2 linked regions of the Arabidopsis thaliana genome follow. The protein of the gene in region 1 interacts with the protein of each later gene in a pairwise test. Each region holds a gene or a part of one and is shown on either strand. Other genes may lie near its edges.

Evidence for each region. Proteins that work in one complex are often made in the same cells at the same time.
Region 2: the proteins of AT1G68240 (region 1) and PIL1 interact in binary tests that used the Arabidopsis thaliana proteins (3 or more experiments, as listed by UniProt).

The regions. Positions count from the first base shown.
Region 1 is NC_003070.9:25,572,575-25,580,278, forward strand, and holds AT1G68240 (basic helix-loop-helix (bHLH) DNA-binding superfamily protein), read right to left. Parts: upstream 3,556-7,704; 5' UTR 3,493-3,555; coding exon 3,262-3,492; intron 3,185-3,261; coding exon 3,116-3,184; intron 3,019-3,115; coding exon 2,953-3,018; intron 2,865-2,952; coding exon 2,712-2,864; coding exon of another isoform or gene 2,706-2,711; exon of another isoform or gene 2,644-2,705; coding exon 2,605-2,643; 3' UTR 2,290-2,604; downstream 1-2,289. Other genes in the region: AT1G68230 (Reticulon family protein), read left to right, coding at 51-180, 267-336, 489-658; AT1G68238 (uncharacterized protein), read left to right, coding at 1,907-2,104; AT1G68250 (uncharacterized protein), read right to left, coding at 6,857-7,258. UniProt on the Arabidopsis thaliana protein: Transcription factor involved in somatic embryogenesis. Acts as a positive regulator of somatic embryo formation. Acts as a positive regulator of ECP63 by targeting its promoter and inducing its expression.
Region 2 is NC_003071.7:19,293,559-19,302,437, forward strand, and holds PIL1 (phytochrome interacting factor 3-like 1), read right to left. Parts: upstream 4,301-8,879; 5' UTR 4,121-4,300; coding exon 4,047-4,120; intron 3,980-4,046; exon of another isoform or gene 3,964-3,979; coding exon of another isoform or gene 3,956-3,963; exon of another isoform or gene 3,873-3,955; coding exon 3,338-3,872; intron 3,257-3,337; coding exon 3,149-3,256; intron 3,061-3,148; coding exon 2,995-3,060; intron 2,890-2,994; coding exon 2,824-2,889; intron 2,461-2,823; coding exon 2,059-2,460; 3' UTR 1,873-2,058; downstream 1-1,872. Other genes in the region: CYP709B1 (cytochrome P450, family 709, subfamily B, polypeptide 1), read right to left, coding at 52-278, 378-654; ASY3 (asynaptic protein), read right to left, coding at 6,310-6,372, 6,468-6,559, 6,738-6,872, 7,345-7,403, 7,477-7,626, 7,709-7,778, 7,857-7,988, 8,093-8,240 and 1 more. UniProt on the Arabidopsis thaliana protein: Transcription factor. Involved in responses to transient and long-term shade. Required for the light-mediated inhibition of hypocotyl elongation. Necessary for rapid light-induced expression of the photomorphogenesis- and circadian-related gene APRR9.

The DNA.
Region 1 (7,704 bases):
TTCTTTATGAATCAATCAACCAAGCTCTCAAGAAATGTTATTTTGCGCAGTAAACCTCCGAGTATTAATGATCTAAGGATTTCGGAATCGAATTGGAGATTCTTGTTCAACAAGATAAACTGGTTCATCATCAAATTGTATGATATTTCAAGTGGCAAAGACTTCAGACTCCTTTTTCTGGTATAAATCAATACACACAATTTCATTTTAATTATTTCATACCAAGATTGTTTTGATTTTATAACTTGTGTCTCGTTTCGTTTTAGGCCGTTGTTTCCCTATGGATATTATCAGTGGTTGGAAACTATTTCAGCTCTCTAACTCTATTATACATCGGTGAGTCTTAATGAGGTTATCTAACACATTTACTGATTAACACTCTACATTTTCCAAAACTTTTTCTTTTTGGTAAAAGCCTTTCTTTTTGGTAAAAGCCTTTCTTTTTAAGTATGGCTTTAATTACAAACATTTTTGGTGTTTTGGTGAAGTATTTGTGGGTTTGGAGACAATACCGATGTTGTATGAGCAATACGAAGAAGAGCTGACTTATGCAGCAAGTAAAAGTGGGAGGGACATGAAGAAGCTCCTAAACAAATTCAACTCCAAAGTCATTAACAAGATCCCTAAAGCTCAAGCTAAAACTAGAAGGACTATGTAACTTTTATGTATATCAATCTTCCAAATCTGCACATATTGTTACACATTATTAAAACTTAAAATAAGTCTTTGTTCATGTAATCATGATTGTTCATCAAGGAATTCAGGATTCAATGGGTATTGATCATTAGATTTTCGTTCTTTATTGAAGGTGACTCGTTGTGATTAGAATAGTCTTTTCTAAAATATGTTATTACTGGCTATCACTATTTTAAGCATGATTGGTTTCTCTAAACTCTATGAAATATTCTTGTGCAATGAAAATGTTATTCGATATTTGCCATTCTGCTACGAAGCTTGACTGGGTTTTGATACCATTACATCTTCCTCAAACCTTAGTAGAAAGTTTTGTAAGAGTTAGCATAACTCACGTTACAACGATTTATTAGTCTAAAATTTTGCAATTTTGAGGTCTAACTTTATATCAGGGATATATTCAACAGATATTCGTTTCATTATTAGGCACCTCGCACCTCTTTGGTGATAAAAGAAAATAAAAATATATTAGGTACCTCTTTGGCTTCGTCAAGGTCACTAGGGATGTTGCTTCACATGCAATCAGCTCTTGATTTCTTACTAGAAAGACTCATCGAGACTCATCTATTTTCTTGTCTCTATTCATGTATTTTTTTTCCGTAAACCAAATTAAGTTAATATATACCTCTTGGTTTTTTGTTTGGATTTTTGTTTATCACTTTTGCTTACTGCTTCTCTATTTTACATCTTTGCATTATTCCGTAACTGTTTACCATTTATTTGTTAGATAGTTCAAATTGTTTTAAGTTGCTAATCAGAGTCTTCTAATCAATTTTTTGAATCTTCAGAAAAACAAATCTCCAAAATATTTTCGTATATCCATACATTCAAAGTCCAAATAGACATCTATGTAAATATAGTCATCTATGTAATTATGTCATTTGTAGTGCTACTTTCTTATATTGTTCTACTTTATGACCACTTTTAAAAACTCGCTCTTAGTTATGTTTTTTTGCTAACTAAGAAATTTTTAATTTATTTTTTAAGACAATCAAGTGGCCGCACACACAATTGGTTAACTACTAGCTTGTGATCCACTGACCCTAGAGTTAAACCAAAGGGCAGTATATATAAGAAAGAGTCGTCGCATCTTTTTTTTGGTGACTTCTGACTCGAAAACGCAAAACCACACATTTGAAAATATGCCAATTACAACTCTCTTTATCAACTAGTCTCAACAATTGTCACAAAGCGATGCACAAAAACTCTTTCAATGGTGAGAGGAGAACTCGCGGTAATAGCGGCGGGTAATGGTGAAGTCTCACTCTACATTTGGGCAGCTGTTGTGGCTTTCTCCGTCATAGCAGCCGTGATTTTCTCATGCAGTGACCGAGCTTCTAAACCTCACACTAACGACGATGTCAATGGATCCAGTTGCGCCGCTGGCTGCGGTGGTGGTTGTGGAGGTTAAACGGGAAGCATTTTTTGTTTACTTTAGTAACATTTAAAGATAAAACTATTTTGGCTTCTTGCTTTAATAAAAAAAGTTAAAGTGTGTAGATAATTTGTAGCCAATGAATGTATTCTGCTTCTTGAATTTAACATTTTAGTGATCTAGTTCGTTTTCTATGATTCAAGATAAAAATTATCAAACTAGGGTTGTAGTAATGTTTGGTACAAACGTACTATTACACGTAACATAACATCTTTGTTGTTTATTTAACTTACATTCAACAAAGAAAAAGGTTGAGCAAAACAGAACATAAATAACAGAGGAACAATGCTCAACCAAAACAGAACATAAAAAACAGGTGTTTTTACATATTGTGGCATCAAACTAAAAGTTATACATAAAACTACGTATGTATTTATGTATCTATGTACATATCTTAGTTTACAAAGACAGTCTATATAAACAGCAACGAGTCTAAAGCCGGAGGGTCTTAAAAAGCCACATAGCTAGAGCTTGTTTTAAGGTTGAGTTTGATTTGGCGGCACTGTTCCATATACCTGTGATAAAAGATTGATGGCAGAAATCAGAATCTGTGGAATCAGATTAAACTTTAATTTGATCAAACCTGAGGATATTGCGGGATATAGGTCATGTTTTGCTGAGGCATCATTGGAACTCCTGGCGTATAATAGCCCCAAGGAGACATACATGGTGCTTGAGCTGCTGCATAAAATGGTGGTGTGTAAACCGGAGTTGTTGTGTATGCCATTGACATAACCTGGACCACATCCACATAACACATAAGAACATATATACTCTAATGGATACAAGTAACTAAATTAAATTAGATATAGTTTAATGCTTACATCTACTTGATATTTCAAACTTTTAATGTATTCAATGATGTTTTCAAGCTTCGATGCAAGGTCCGGCTGTAGATAAACACACAAGAAACTCGATATTCGAAACTTGATATTGTATTAGACTCTAATATATAAAAAATATGGAGTAAATTAAGTAATAGTTAACCTTTGTGCAATGATTAGGCATCAACCCCTGCAAAATATCTACTTTATCTTTGATCTCCTTTCGTCTTTTCTACAAAGTTTAGAAAGCAAAAATATAAATTAGCTAGGGAATCACGTAAGAGAAGAAGGAGATTAAGTCATCTTCACCTTCTCCATCATCATACGATATTCCATGGAACGTTGCCGTTTAGCCATACGGTAACTTTCCTCGTCTGGCTCCTCGTCGTGTTTCTCATGATCATTGTTTTTGGTAACACCGAATATCTCTTGCAAAGGGTTTAATTCACTATGATTTTCTGAACAAAACGAATAAATAATATCAGAAAGCGAACATTGCTCTTCTTCGTGAGTCCCCTCGTTGCGGTTGTTTCTCTCCATTGATGATTGACTAAATTGAGGATTTTGAGTTTGTTAAAGAGTGAAAAGTGGAGGGTTAAGGATAAACTAGTTAGTTCAGCCATAAGCTATATATATATAGGGGAGATACAAGAAGCTTCTTTTGAAAGTTCCAACAATTGAGCGGGAAGCAAAGAAGATGATTTTGCTTCGTCCCATGGTTTTCTCTAACAATTTATTTACTCATTTTCCATTATATTATTATATTTATGTGTTCCACATTTACGCACATCCATTAGACAGAAGAAAACATATATTTTTGTTGTTTTCTTATATTTGCTTTCTTGCTCTTTCTTGAAATTCTAAGAACGGCAGGGGAATAGTGTCATTCTTGTTCATGAACGGCAGTTCTTAATCTTTAGTATTTTATTTTTCTTCTCAAGCTAGCTATGGATACAACAAATTGCATTAAAATTGGAAAAACATTATCTAGTTGGAAAAGAGAACTGTAAAACTCCTATTACAAGTTCGAACAAAAATGACATATTTCAATATTTAAGAATTATTTATTTTGATTGAGAACAAGATAAACTTTCTATTATATCAACAACATGCATGGACATGTCCATGCAAGGGCAAGAAAATGTTTCTAGTCAGAAATTTGTTTTGACCGGCTTGTAACACTGTGCAAGCTAGCTTCTGATGTGATATTTAGAACGTACGTTTGCATATATTTATCGAGTTACGTGTCTCTTCAATACTCATACATATTTTAAGGAGTCATGCACCAAAATCTTTCATATAAACATGTGCTGATCAGAGATCTTGAACTCTCTATCGAATAGCTTCGCCATCGACCCAAATACATAAGACCGTCGTCTGATTACTTCATTGAGACGGGACGTTTTTTATAGCTAGATGTACTATTTTAATTTGGGTTATTTGTGGATACATGCACACTCTCGTTACTTCTCCTTCTTAAATAAACCTCAACCATTTCATTTTTTTCTCTCAACCATTTCATTTTTTTCTCTCAACCATTTCTTCAATATCTCGTATATATTATTTGAACAATTGGAGACAGATAGAAAAAAAAAACGGACAAGCAAAACATATTTGGTTAACCTGCCATCATATGAGCGATTTGAAAGAAAAATAATATAAAATTTCGATTGCCAAGTTTAAAACTAACATTTAATTATGAATGTTTTGGGTGCAACAATGAATATATTTTTTACACTAACATCATTATAGTAACAAATATATTTAATGTTGTAAATAGATATTTGCAATATCATTCAATTTAGTTATAAAAAAAATCATTCAATTAAATTAATTTCTTAAGTTAGTTTTTGTTAAACAATTGAATCTATAACATCATTAACTATTTGTTTTGCTCAAAGATTGAAAATAAAAACAGAAAAAAAAAATGAATTTAAGATTCTCTACAGGCCCAAACCGCGGATCAAATATCTAATATTTAAATATTTATGAAAATATTTCATTTTTAAATCTTTCTTACAAATTATAAACGTTAACGAAAAAACAAAAAAACGTTAACGAGATATGTAAGTTAAAAAAAATCACTTATATATGTTTATCATTTTAGCTACAAAGTTTTTTTTCTTTAAAACAATATTAATATAGTTTTTTTGCCAAAATAATAATATTTATATTATTTATTTTATTTTAGATATAATATAATATATTTCAACACATTTTTTGTTTATGTTCGGAACAATCCTTAGTTTCACAATATAGCTAGATTCTTCTTGGTGATTAATGTGAATTAATATATGATGTTGCGCACTAGAACTAAACACGAAAACATTGCATTTAAACAACCAAAATACTATAAGTTGTTTACGATAAACAATGTAAAACGTTACAACGTTACAGTATACTATACAACAGTGCGAAAACGTACAACAAAGAGCAAGCCACATAGTACTCCTAGTTTCAAATACAACTTGGGAGACCAACTCCTTTACATTAAACAACAAACCATATTATTAAAGAACTTGAGAGAACCGGTCTTTAATACTAAAACATGAACTGGTCTTATATACTACAGCATCTTGTAGTTTACATCGGCTTTGTCGTCTGTGGTTGATTATTGTTGTTGACTCCCTGTAAATTTTTCATTGTCAAGAAAGAACAGATAAATAAAGAACAACTAACAATCACAAAAATATAAACACATGAAGAAGAAAACAAATCAAAACCTGATAAGTGGTAAAGGGTACAAATTGGTTGGCGTAGCCGCTAGTTTCTCCTGGTGCCGGTGCTGCCGGAAAGTGATTGTAATACATCATGTAGTTTGGAGGGACATAATTATAAGGATATACCCATGGTGCCGGAATATCCACCACCCCCATGCCCGGTGGCATCATTAGACCTATTGAGTTTCTCCAATAACTCTGCATTGTTAAATATTGAGTTTAGTCATGATAAATGGTTTTCTTTAATTACTGCTTTTGTCTAATCCAGCAAGTAAGAAATGACATTCACTTAACTATCATATAACATATGATAAACTGAATTAAACAAAACCAATGAAAAAGAAAAATTTGAAACTAAAAAAACATATATGAAATCCTAAATATACATGCATGTCGTGAGATAACAACAATGTGACGATTCAGATTACTTACTTCTACACAAAGCTTCATCTCCCGTATTTTATCGATGATATACTCAAGGCTCGAGTCTAAGTTTCTCTACGTACAGTTCATGCGGATAACAAATTAAAAACAAAGCAAAAGTTGTATTAGTAATATCAGACCCAAATTTATTTTTCATTAGCGTTTGTTGATACAAGTTAAATGGATGTCCTAAAAAAACACCACTAATTTAGTTTTTTAATTAAGGACATATGTTAAGTTTCAAACACAAATAGGAGAATAAACTTCTTGTTTATACGTATATGAACAAAATATTTTGATTAGTAAAGATAATTAAACACATGTATCAATTTGTATTTGCAACAATTAGATGAAAAAAATAGAGGCAAAAAGTTGGTATGCATGAACCTTTCCATTACAACGTGTCATCTCCTTCAACGTCTCAATTTTGCTATTAATATCATTGCGTCTCCTCTGCATTTTGAAATCAAAATAACAAAACATTAAGCCTTTTTCCAAAAAAATAAGAAAGAAAAAAACGTTGAACAACGTGGTCTTTTTCGTTGAGAGACACGCATTAAACAAACAAACGTGTCCTCACCTTGTCATTGATAATGCGTGCTTCATAACCACGTGGTCTCTTACCAAGACTCTTGCTTCCTTCCTTCGCAGCATCTTCCTTCTCCTTACCCTATATAATAACAAAGTTCGTATTAGACCTAACTCATATGTAAAATAAATAAACGGAAAAAAAAACTCATATATATATCTAAGAAAATCAACTACATAATTACCTTTTCCGTTGCTTTTTGAGTAGATTTCTCTTGATCCGTATTAACGTTCTTATATCCAGCTTCGGCTGCAGCATTTGCCGGTTGAGCCTCCTTACCTCCAACCTTCCATGGCTCAGCCGGCACATCAATGGCCATCGGTCGAACGTCCTTACCTCCATATTCAAGAGCCTTCCATGGCTCAGCCGGCTCATCAATGGCCATCGGACGAACCTCCTTACCTCCATATTCAAGAACTTTCCATGGCTCAACCGGCTCATCAATGGCCATCGGTGTAGACATGGTCATTATCGGGCTTCTAACCACAGGATATGGATTATCTTTAGGTTCTGAGTCAGCAAAGGATTGGAAAAGTGAGGACCAGAACTCTACGGTATCTCGATCGTTGTCCATATTTATGAAAGGTAACTAGTTGAAGAGTGATATGGAGAGTTTGTGCCAATTGCAAGAGGTATTTATAGGAGAGGAAACAAGAGCGGGAAAGAGGGTTATCGACTCAAACTTCTGTCGGAACTTATCATATTACTATAGGATTTCTATTTTGTCCCTTGAGGATATATATTATATATCCATCTTCTTGTTTTTATGTAAATTTCTTTATCCATCAGTTTGTGTTTCGTTATTTATCCACTTTTCACACTGTTGTTAACTATAATAAATCGGAAACTTGATCAAAGAAATCCGATCCAAAATTATTTCTCACCAAGTTTTCAGAACGATGAGAAAAGTTGTTTTATAAACGATATAGTTATGTGAAAATAATGTAGTAAACCATTGTATGTATATATATTGACGAGATAAAAGCTAGTATACAGCTTCATATGAAATGTTTTGAAAAA
Region 2 (8,879 bases), on another chromosome or scaffold:
GCTCTAATGTTTAATTTCTCAAGTCAAGCTAAGAAAGAAGGATTAAAATACCTTGAGCCTATCGATGGAGAAAGCAGGGTTCAAGATTCTTCTATGGCGAACCCAATCAGCACCTTCGATAAAGACAAGTCCTTTGGAGCCGACAAGTTTAACAGCCTCAGGTCTTGCCTTTGATTTGACAAAGAAACCTAACTTGTTCGACAACATAGTTTTTGCAAGTTCAGGATCTGAGATGCATATCCTTGGCTCTGTTCCGTTCCAGTAAAGAAAAGTCTCTCCTAATAATATATAACATAGATAACTTGTGTGTTACGCATTATCCTCGAATAAAATCTAAAATAAAAGATGAACAAAGAGAGAGTTGGAGAAAACGACACCGTATTGAGACATCCATTTTTGATAATGAGGAAGAATACGAGGGAAAATATCATTGGAGCTAGGATCAAGAATCGAAAGATGAGATTCTCTCTTCATCTTCTTTATCTCGCTGAGGTTTCCGTAAAAGATTCTGTAATTTGGGCCTGAGATTCCTTGGTTTTTGAGTCTTCTGGTCAACACAAATGGATGCCAAACAAGAATCATAAAAGCTTTGAATATCCTGAGACCAATAATAAGGATTAAGACAATTAGTGCCAAGAAAATTACGAGCCCCATGGAAAAGTTTTTTTTTCCTTATGTTTGTGTGTGTGTATTGTTGTTCTTGGTTAGGTGTTTTAAGTTCTACACTATATAATGACATGCACATATAACTTTGTAAAATAAGTCTATGGCCAGTGAATGAAACACTATCTAAACACTACATGAAGTTAGCACAAACACGTCTGTTTATTTTCAATTTGAGAACAAACAAAAAGTAATTAATAAAGTAAAATGTGTCTTATATATGGTATGATGATAGAGTAGATTCTAAATATGCCTATAGCACATATTTGTTACGTAATAAGACAATTATAGAAAGTATATAAAAAATGAGTGGATAAAAGAAAAATATAAAATTACTCATGAAAGCTAAGTAATCCTTTTGGGAGAATAATTTAGTTTTAGCATTCATTGTATCTTAGGTTTACTGTTTCTGTATCTTTAAAATAATCCGGCATGGACAATGAATCAATGATTTGTTGTTAACATATCATTGTGAACAAAATACTTGATGAACTAATTGTTTGGAGAGTTAATTTGGTATTTGAATTCAAACGAAAATGTTATAGAAATAGAAGTACAACATTGTGAAAATAAATAAACAAAGATGAGAGATATTTATCAACCAACGGTGCAATGTGATGGATCGTGACATCGAATCTTAAAATGAAACACTTTTTCGTTTGTTATCTACTTTTGCATGGTTTCATATTTAAAGGAAGTGGTTGAAATTTTATTTCTATACTAAAAGAATTGGTTTAGACTTAACTATCCACTTTCTTTAAGTATCATGTTAACTCATGAAATAAGAGTCATCTATTTTTAAAAGAGAATCTTCACATTGATTTCAAGTTTTCAACGCACCTGACGCTAAAATATCAGAAATTCAATGTGTGAGTCTCATCTTCATCACACTATTGCACTCCCTTGTTTTCGTGTTTGAAAAAGCCCAATTAATTTTTTAATGTTTGAAAAAAGAAAGAATAAAGTAGATATTAGTCCACTAAAAAGCCCATCAAGCCCAAGTTTTGTAGTACTTTACTCAATCTCATCATTGAGATTGTTCCTTAATCCCAAAAACATGGCAAAATTCGTTTCAAATTACGATTTAGGTCAAATGAGTTGTCTTCATCTTAGTTGGGTTTGCGTTAAAATCGGTTTATCGTAATTGAACACTCATCATCATCCATCATTATGCAATTGCACGTCCTCTACTTATAACTTTGTTATAGAGTCTATGATAACTTATATTTGTTATATTTTACTTTGTACATCCACTTTGAAAATAGTTGGAATTAAGTTCAAATCGTTCCAAGAATCAAGGCCCAAAAGCCCATAGACTAACAACACAGAGTAGACGATCATTTTTTTTTGCTTAAAGTTAGTTAGTTGGAGAAAACATCAACTTTCTACAAATCATTAGTTTGGCGAGCGATAATAACTAAAACCGTTGCTTCCTCTATATTGCATTGCATCTTCTAAGTTTGAGGCGGACGCAGACTTTGGGAATTGAGTAAAAGAAGTAGCCTGAGTCTGAGAAACACACGAAGGCACCACGAATGGCTGAGAGCAATTTTCCAATGGAGAAAAGATAGGAGTGTTTGGAATTAGTCCACTTGGGTGATTAAGAAAGCTTAGCATTTGTGGTGGTGCATTGTTCATCCCCGGAAAACCGGTTGCTTGAACATTCATAGGCAGGAATTGCGGTATTGATGTTGGTGTTGCTGCTGCACCCATATGCATTCCTAGACCCATGGGAGAGTAATGACCCATTGGCAACATCGTAGGTGGTCTTATTAATCCATTTCCCATACTCATCATCTGTAAATAATTATTAGAGCATGTTAATTAAGAATCTTATATATATGTAAAAAAATTTGTAGTAAAATAAATAAGGAATAAACTTTTGATTGTTTATTGATTAGTGTTTAATTACGTTTATAATTTGTTTTGGTTTCTCTTATGAAACTAGTTTCTAGTGACTTTATCAAGAATCATTCGTAAAGGTAAAAGCCAAACGCAATAATATTTGATAACAAAAACACTTTACAAAGTATATTTTAATGTTAAAAAACAAATTTATATGTAAATATAAACACAAGTCTGTGTTTAAATAATTAACACCTGAATCATTTTATTATCTCTCAATGAAATTTTATTGAATTGGTGTATTATTTTGAATACCTGAACTTGAAGTTGAAGGGTCCGCATATATTTGATAGCCTCATCCAACAATGAAGCCTTATCATCCTATCATCAACAATTACAGATATTCAGAAATCTCCACAAAGAGAAAATTAATTAACTCTCTAAGACTAAGTAAACAATGTAATGTGATTTAAGTTAATCTCAAACCTTGTAACAATTTGGTAGTAGGTCCTGCAAAGCACGCATTTTCTTGTTGAATTCATCTCTTCGTTTCTGTTAACAAATCCTTAATTAGCATTAATTTTCATACATTATTTTTTTTCTACTAACTAAGGTGAAATTTTCATACATATAAACTCACTCTTTCATATAACTTATGGACTTCTGTGCTTCGTTTTCTTTTAGTCACCGGCTTTCTTGTTCTCGCATGAACTTGTGTCTTCGCATCATCTGATTCATCATCTGAATTCTGCATAAGCAATAAGAAAAAGACAATTAATGATCTACCATGTGAAAGAACTAAGACAAGCAGCTAATTAATTTCTCTTACATTACTTAAATAGGTTGATTCTTCTTCTTCAATATCTCCATACTTCCTCTTTAAAGAACAACAACTTAGATCTCTCGAAGTTCCTCGAGAAAACTTCGATGAAGAAGCAAAATACAATTCCGTGGATCTACCAACAGCTGCAGATTGCTCATCAGGAGGAGCTGTAGTAACTTCAACATTCTTTGGACCTTTAGCAGAAACATCAATTAATGTTGATGATTCAACACATTTGTTGCTTTTCGAAACATTTCTCTCAAATTCGATTTTGGAGGACTTTAGCTTCTTCTTATTGTTGTTCATTTGTTCATTGGTTTCTTTATCTTGTTGTGGCTTAGACTGACTCACCGGAACAACTTGTGTGTCTCCAAGAATCTTGATGTTTTTCTTGAAACCCTCGCTGTACTCGGTCTCATACAAATCCAGGAGAGATTGCCTACGTTGCTTTTGAAAAGAACCGTTGTTCTTTGGTCTTCGAATCTTTGCAAGAATCTGCCCATTTTCACACACCAGCTCCATATAATCTTCATCTTTTAATCTGCAAGAAAAGAGTCACGTATAAATAACCTATTAACAAAAAAAAAATAGTCAGGAGAAGACAAAATTGTTTCAAGCACCGACAGAACCATAAGCGCCCATTATTTCAAAACCACGCATGTGTATATGTTTATAGAAGTCGCAAAAAGTGTAGATGAAACCATAATAAACTTACTTTGGTTTAATGTTTGATGATGGAGAAATCATGTTTGGTTCAGATGATGATGATGCTAAGGGTTTTGCTTCCATTGAAGTAAACTGAACAAAGCTTTCTTTACTTGTCTTTTTTTTTTTCCGGTTTTTGTGAATTGTAGAATCAGAGAGATTCGGACTTCACACTTTGGTTTTCTTTCTTGGGGTTAATGAAGAGCAGCATATATATATATATATAGTCGGTTGTATATATGTATATTCGCTTATTTCATTTATGATTGATTGATATGGAGGATTTGTTTTGGTCCACAACTCATATATTTATCCTTGAATCGTGATTATGACACAGTATGGAGAATTAGTACAAATTATTACCTTACAAACTTTGGTCGACTTCAAATGTTACATTTCAGATTTATAAAATTTACAGTTGCTTTTTTTTAATACAAAACGTATATATTTGTTTGTATATGTGAAATGAGTTTTCGCACGTTTTATAGAAAAAATATAATCATAAATTCATAATAACATAGACTATACTATATATACGCGATAAAGAGTAGTATAAGTATTCATGTTAATGTGTAAATCTTTCATTTTAAAACAAAAATATTGATGGAATAAATGAAAGAAGCAAGATAATGTATGGGCGATAGTGAAAGACAAAGAAATAGAGAGAGAGACATTCTTATGACCGACTTCTCTACTCTCCACCGCTCCATTTTTCTCTGCTTTCGGAAAAAGAATAGAAAAATTAAATAAAAATAAAGTCAAATCTACGATTGCAATTCCTTTTTTTTTTTTTTGTCTTCATCTAAAATGAGAAAATATTAAGCATGATCATTTTTTTAACGTCTGATCCGTGAATTTTACTTGAGCACAGTCAGATATATATATACATATATTTATATATGGTTTTGTGTATTTCCTTTTTATTTAAAAGGTCAGGAAAACACAATGTAGTAAATAGGAAAACACAAAAAAAATCACTCCCGATGATGCTCCAACAATAATGCAACTAGTATTGATTTTTTCGTCATGCAAATTCCTATAAGAACGTGTTCTTAGAAAGTTTAGGAATAAATTCCAAACTATGCAATGACAAAGCGTCCAACTGAACTTACTAAATAATCTCCAGTATTGGAACACACTATTTCTATATTATGTTCGTGTGTTATTTTTTTTATTGAAGATAAAAGTATTATCAATAAGTAATACGCATGTTCAATTGTTCACAATTAAAAAAGAAAGGTCAAAACTTAGGTAGACCGAAAAAAAATCAATAATGTTGTTATCAAAAATAAAACAAAACACTAGTAAAACTGTAGTGAGTGACATGCGAGAGAGACGGGCACAAAAGGCCCACGTGAGCGGAAAGAACCTTCACGCCATTATTAAGACATATATGGATGGGCCCTTTCTTAAAGGCTTTAGTTTTCTCTTTAAATGGGACCCACAATTAGGCTTTTTTTGGCCAAGTTCACGTGCACTTCACGTGAATGCCGCGTGATTCATCCACCCCTTTGTGTTATTTTGTCTCCCTCCCTTCTTTCTTGTTTGTTTCTAACGACTGCTACTATCTTGTCGTCTTCTCCATTTTTACCCTCTCGACACATTCTAAATTCTTTTACCGACCGTAAAAAAAGAATCCTCTGTGATTTGAGATCTCTCTATTTACAAACAAAATTATCTCTACCATGTTTTTATCATCACAGTAAAATTGTTGGGTCCAACATTTTATTTTCTGTTTCATTCGATTGATATCGAATTGTGACCATTCTTTGTTCAGTTTGGTTTTGATATTCAATATGAAATACATCTCTGTTAAAGTAAAATATTGTAATTAAAATTCACATCAACGTCTGCAAAATATTCTGGTTTTTAAAAGAAAAATGTTTGGATTGGTTTTGCTTCGATATATATCAAGATATCAATAACCTAATTAAAAGTTGTTGGTTTAATAAAAAATATCTGCAGTTGCTGGCAAAAATAAATTAAAAAGAAACCTTCAAACTGCTATATAAAATAAGGCTCTATGATATAAGTAGTTTTGTAGTGGTTCAGTGAACAATAAACTATTCTATACGAATACGAATCAATGACAATGAGTCAAAGCATCATCTACTATATCTTCTTTATTCGCCTGAACTCATGAGACCACTAAACCAAAGGCTGGTTTTGCTTGAGAGGTTTTTCTTTCCTGGTTAACACAGTTCGTCTAGTTTATGTTTTAAAATGGAGAATAACGACGTACGTGTGGTTGATTGATTCTGTGAGACTCAGTGTCAATCATCCCTCAAACATTCTGCGACAATCATCTTCAGCTGCAGCATCTTTCCTCTCGCAGACTGTAAACCAATACGTCATTTTTAAGTTGTGCTTTTGAATTCATGATTTAACCATTTTTAGAATCTGACTCTTAAGAAGCAGAACAATGACTTGCCTTGTTTACAGAATCGATTCTTTTGGTCGCATCGTCCAGTTTTGTCTCGATGCCTCCTTCAAAATGTGCAATGAGTTTTTGGTGTGATGTTCCTGTCATAGAGAGATAAAAAGTTATCAAGTGAGTTTAGGAAATACTTGTCCTCCTGCTATTATTATATTAAAACTATCTTGCCATGAAGAATCTAACTTTGATAACATCATATGTTTCAAGTATTTCTAGTGTTAGAATTCGTTGTAGTAAAAGCAGGAATTACAGAAGTTAACATACTTTGCTTCTTTATGCTTCCTTTCAGCTCTGACTGGTTTGCTTCAAGCTCTTCGATAGTACTCTTAAAATCTTCAAGATGATGGCTGACATCGTCCTTGAACTTTTCATGGATCATTCTCATTTTCTCTTCTTGCTCTGTTAGACGATTAGATATTATCAGTGAACACAATAGATCAGAACGGATCTTGCATATTTTTATTCAATGAGTGGAAATATGGAGACATTTCCAGACTCTCATGTTCCACAACAATACACAGCTCAATTTTTTATTATTCTCCACATAGGAATGAATTGAGCATTTAGCTTTGTCTTGATATAACTATGTTAAATGCAAGTTTCATGTCTATGTTAGAGCCGAAAGTATAGTTAGGTGTGTGTGTGTGTCTAATCAAAGAGACATGAAAGCACAAGAATGAAGCAAGATGGTGAGTACTTCAAGACTAAATGCAATCTAAAGAGTAATACTTGATATCAAATTTCCGATCTACTACCTTGAATCAGGATTAAACTGCAAAGATAGTATATTTGAACTTCTAAGCTTTCTTAATGTTCATGACTGTGAATTCGAGTACAGTATTAACTATTAAGATATAATGTGTTGATGTACCTTGTAATCTTGTTTCGGCATGCTTTCTCTTAGTTTTGGCTAGGTTACTTGTCTTTCCCCTGTACCATAATTAACAAGATCTTTGATTGATAATTTAAAAGAAAGAATGCAGAATAAATTATACAAACATACGCTTCTGTTATGATATGGGACTTGATATTCTCCAACTCCAGATGTATCTCCTCGGAGACTGATGCTATAATTTCTGAGGACTTCTTTTCAGCTGCAGATTTCAGTTTTCTCTCAAAGTTTTGAAGAGCCATAGCGAACAATGCAACAGCCCTGAGACATGGTAAATAATCAACTTAAGACAGGAACAAAGATTAAAGATAGACACGTAATATTAGTTATATCTACAAGAGACCTTCCCAAGCCTTCATCTTCATCCTCATCCATCTCTGAACAATGCTGGAAGGAATCAGTTTTATCGATCCCTGCTCAGTTTCCAGGACAAAACAAATGAGGGTGCAGTATATAAACCCACAACAGTGACATACAAATGAGCATTATACCTTTTGACAAAGGGGAGGGAGGACTTAACACGACACGTCCAATGCCCTTAAGGTTAGAGTTCCGTTTAACTGAGCTAGGGCCTAACATAGATCTCTCATTAGTCCAATTGGCAGTTTCTCTTTCTTCGGGGCCTGAATCAGAAGATCAATAGAATAAGCAAAACATGGATTCTGTTAAGAAGAAAATAAGATCCTCCAGTTTTTATATGGTCTAGGATAAGAATTAAGAAGCATACTGATGTTATGGCCTAACACTGGTGAATCTTCTCTTGAACCATCTGAGTCTCGCTCATCAGACGACGGATCAGACAGAACTAAATCTTCATTTGGCTCAGGAGAACTTTCTCTTCTGAAAGAATAATCTCTTTTCTTCTCCAAGAAATCCTGAAAATAAATAAGTAAACACAAAAGTCAAAGAGGAGTATATAAAGTCAATATGCAACTTAAGTATAGATAAAGCCGCTTCAGTTTATGAAGGTTACAGGCAATCTCTTTTCTGTATCTGACGCTTGGCCTGTTGTCCCTTGAGAGGTTTTCTTAGTACCGAAGCTAAATATTGGTGTTTCCGTCTCATCTAATGTGGGACTAATATTCCTAGGTTGCAAAGGAGATGCTTCTGGAGAACAACATGGGGAAGGACTTGAGATTGGTGCTTTATATCCAAAGGTTGGACTCTGGAATTCGTTTTCTGGCTCAACAGACTTTTCCCTGAAAATATTACTCGGCCGTTCATGTTTATCGCCATTTTTAGATAATCCCTGGGACATCTCTGGCAGAGCTGCTGCCTCAGCTTCTGGCGATGGATGAAAATCTCCTTCCCTTGTGCTAATATCTGGTTTCTGTTTCCGGGCTTTGCTCTGTGGATGAAGGTCATGGGAACTTCCCTTTTTGTCTGAAGATGAAGATCTTTTGCCAGTTTCTGTGCTTTCAGAACGTGGTGGAGTATTGCTCTTGCTCGCCTCCTTCCGACTCCAATCAGCTTCATCCTTTTTTCGAGAATGAGCCTTACGGCATTTTACAACA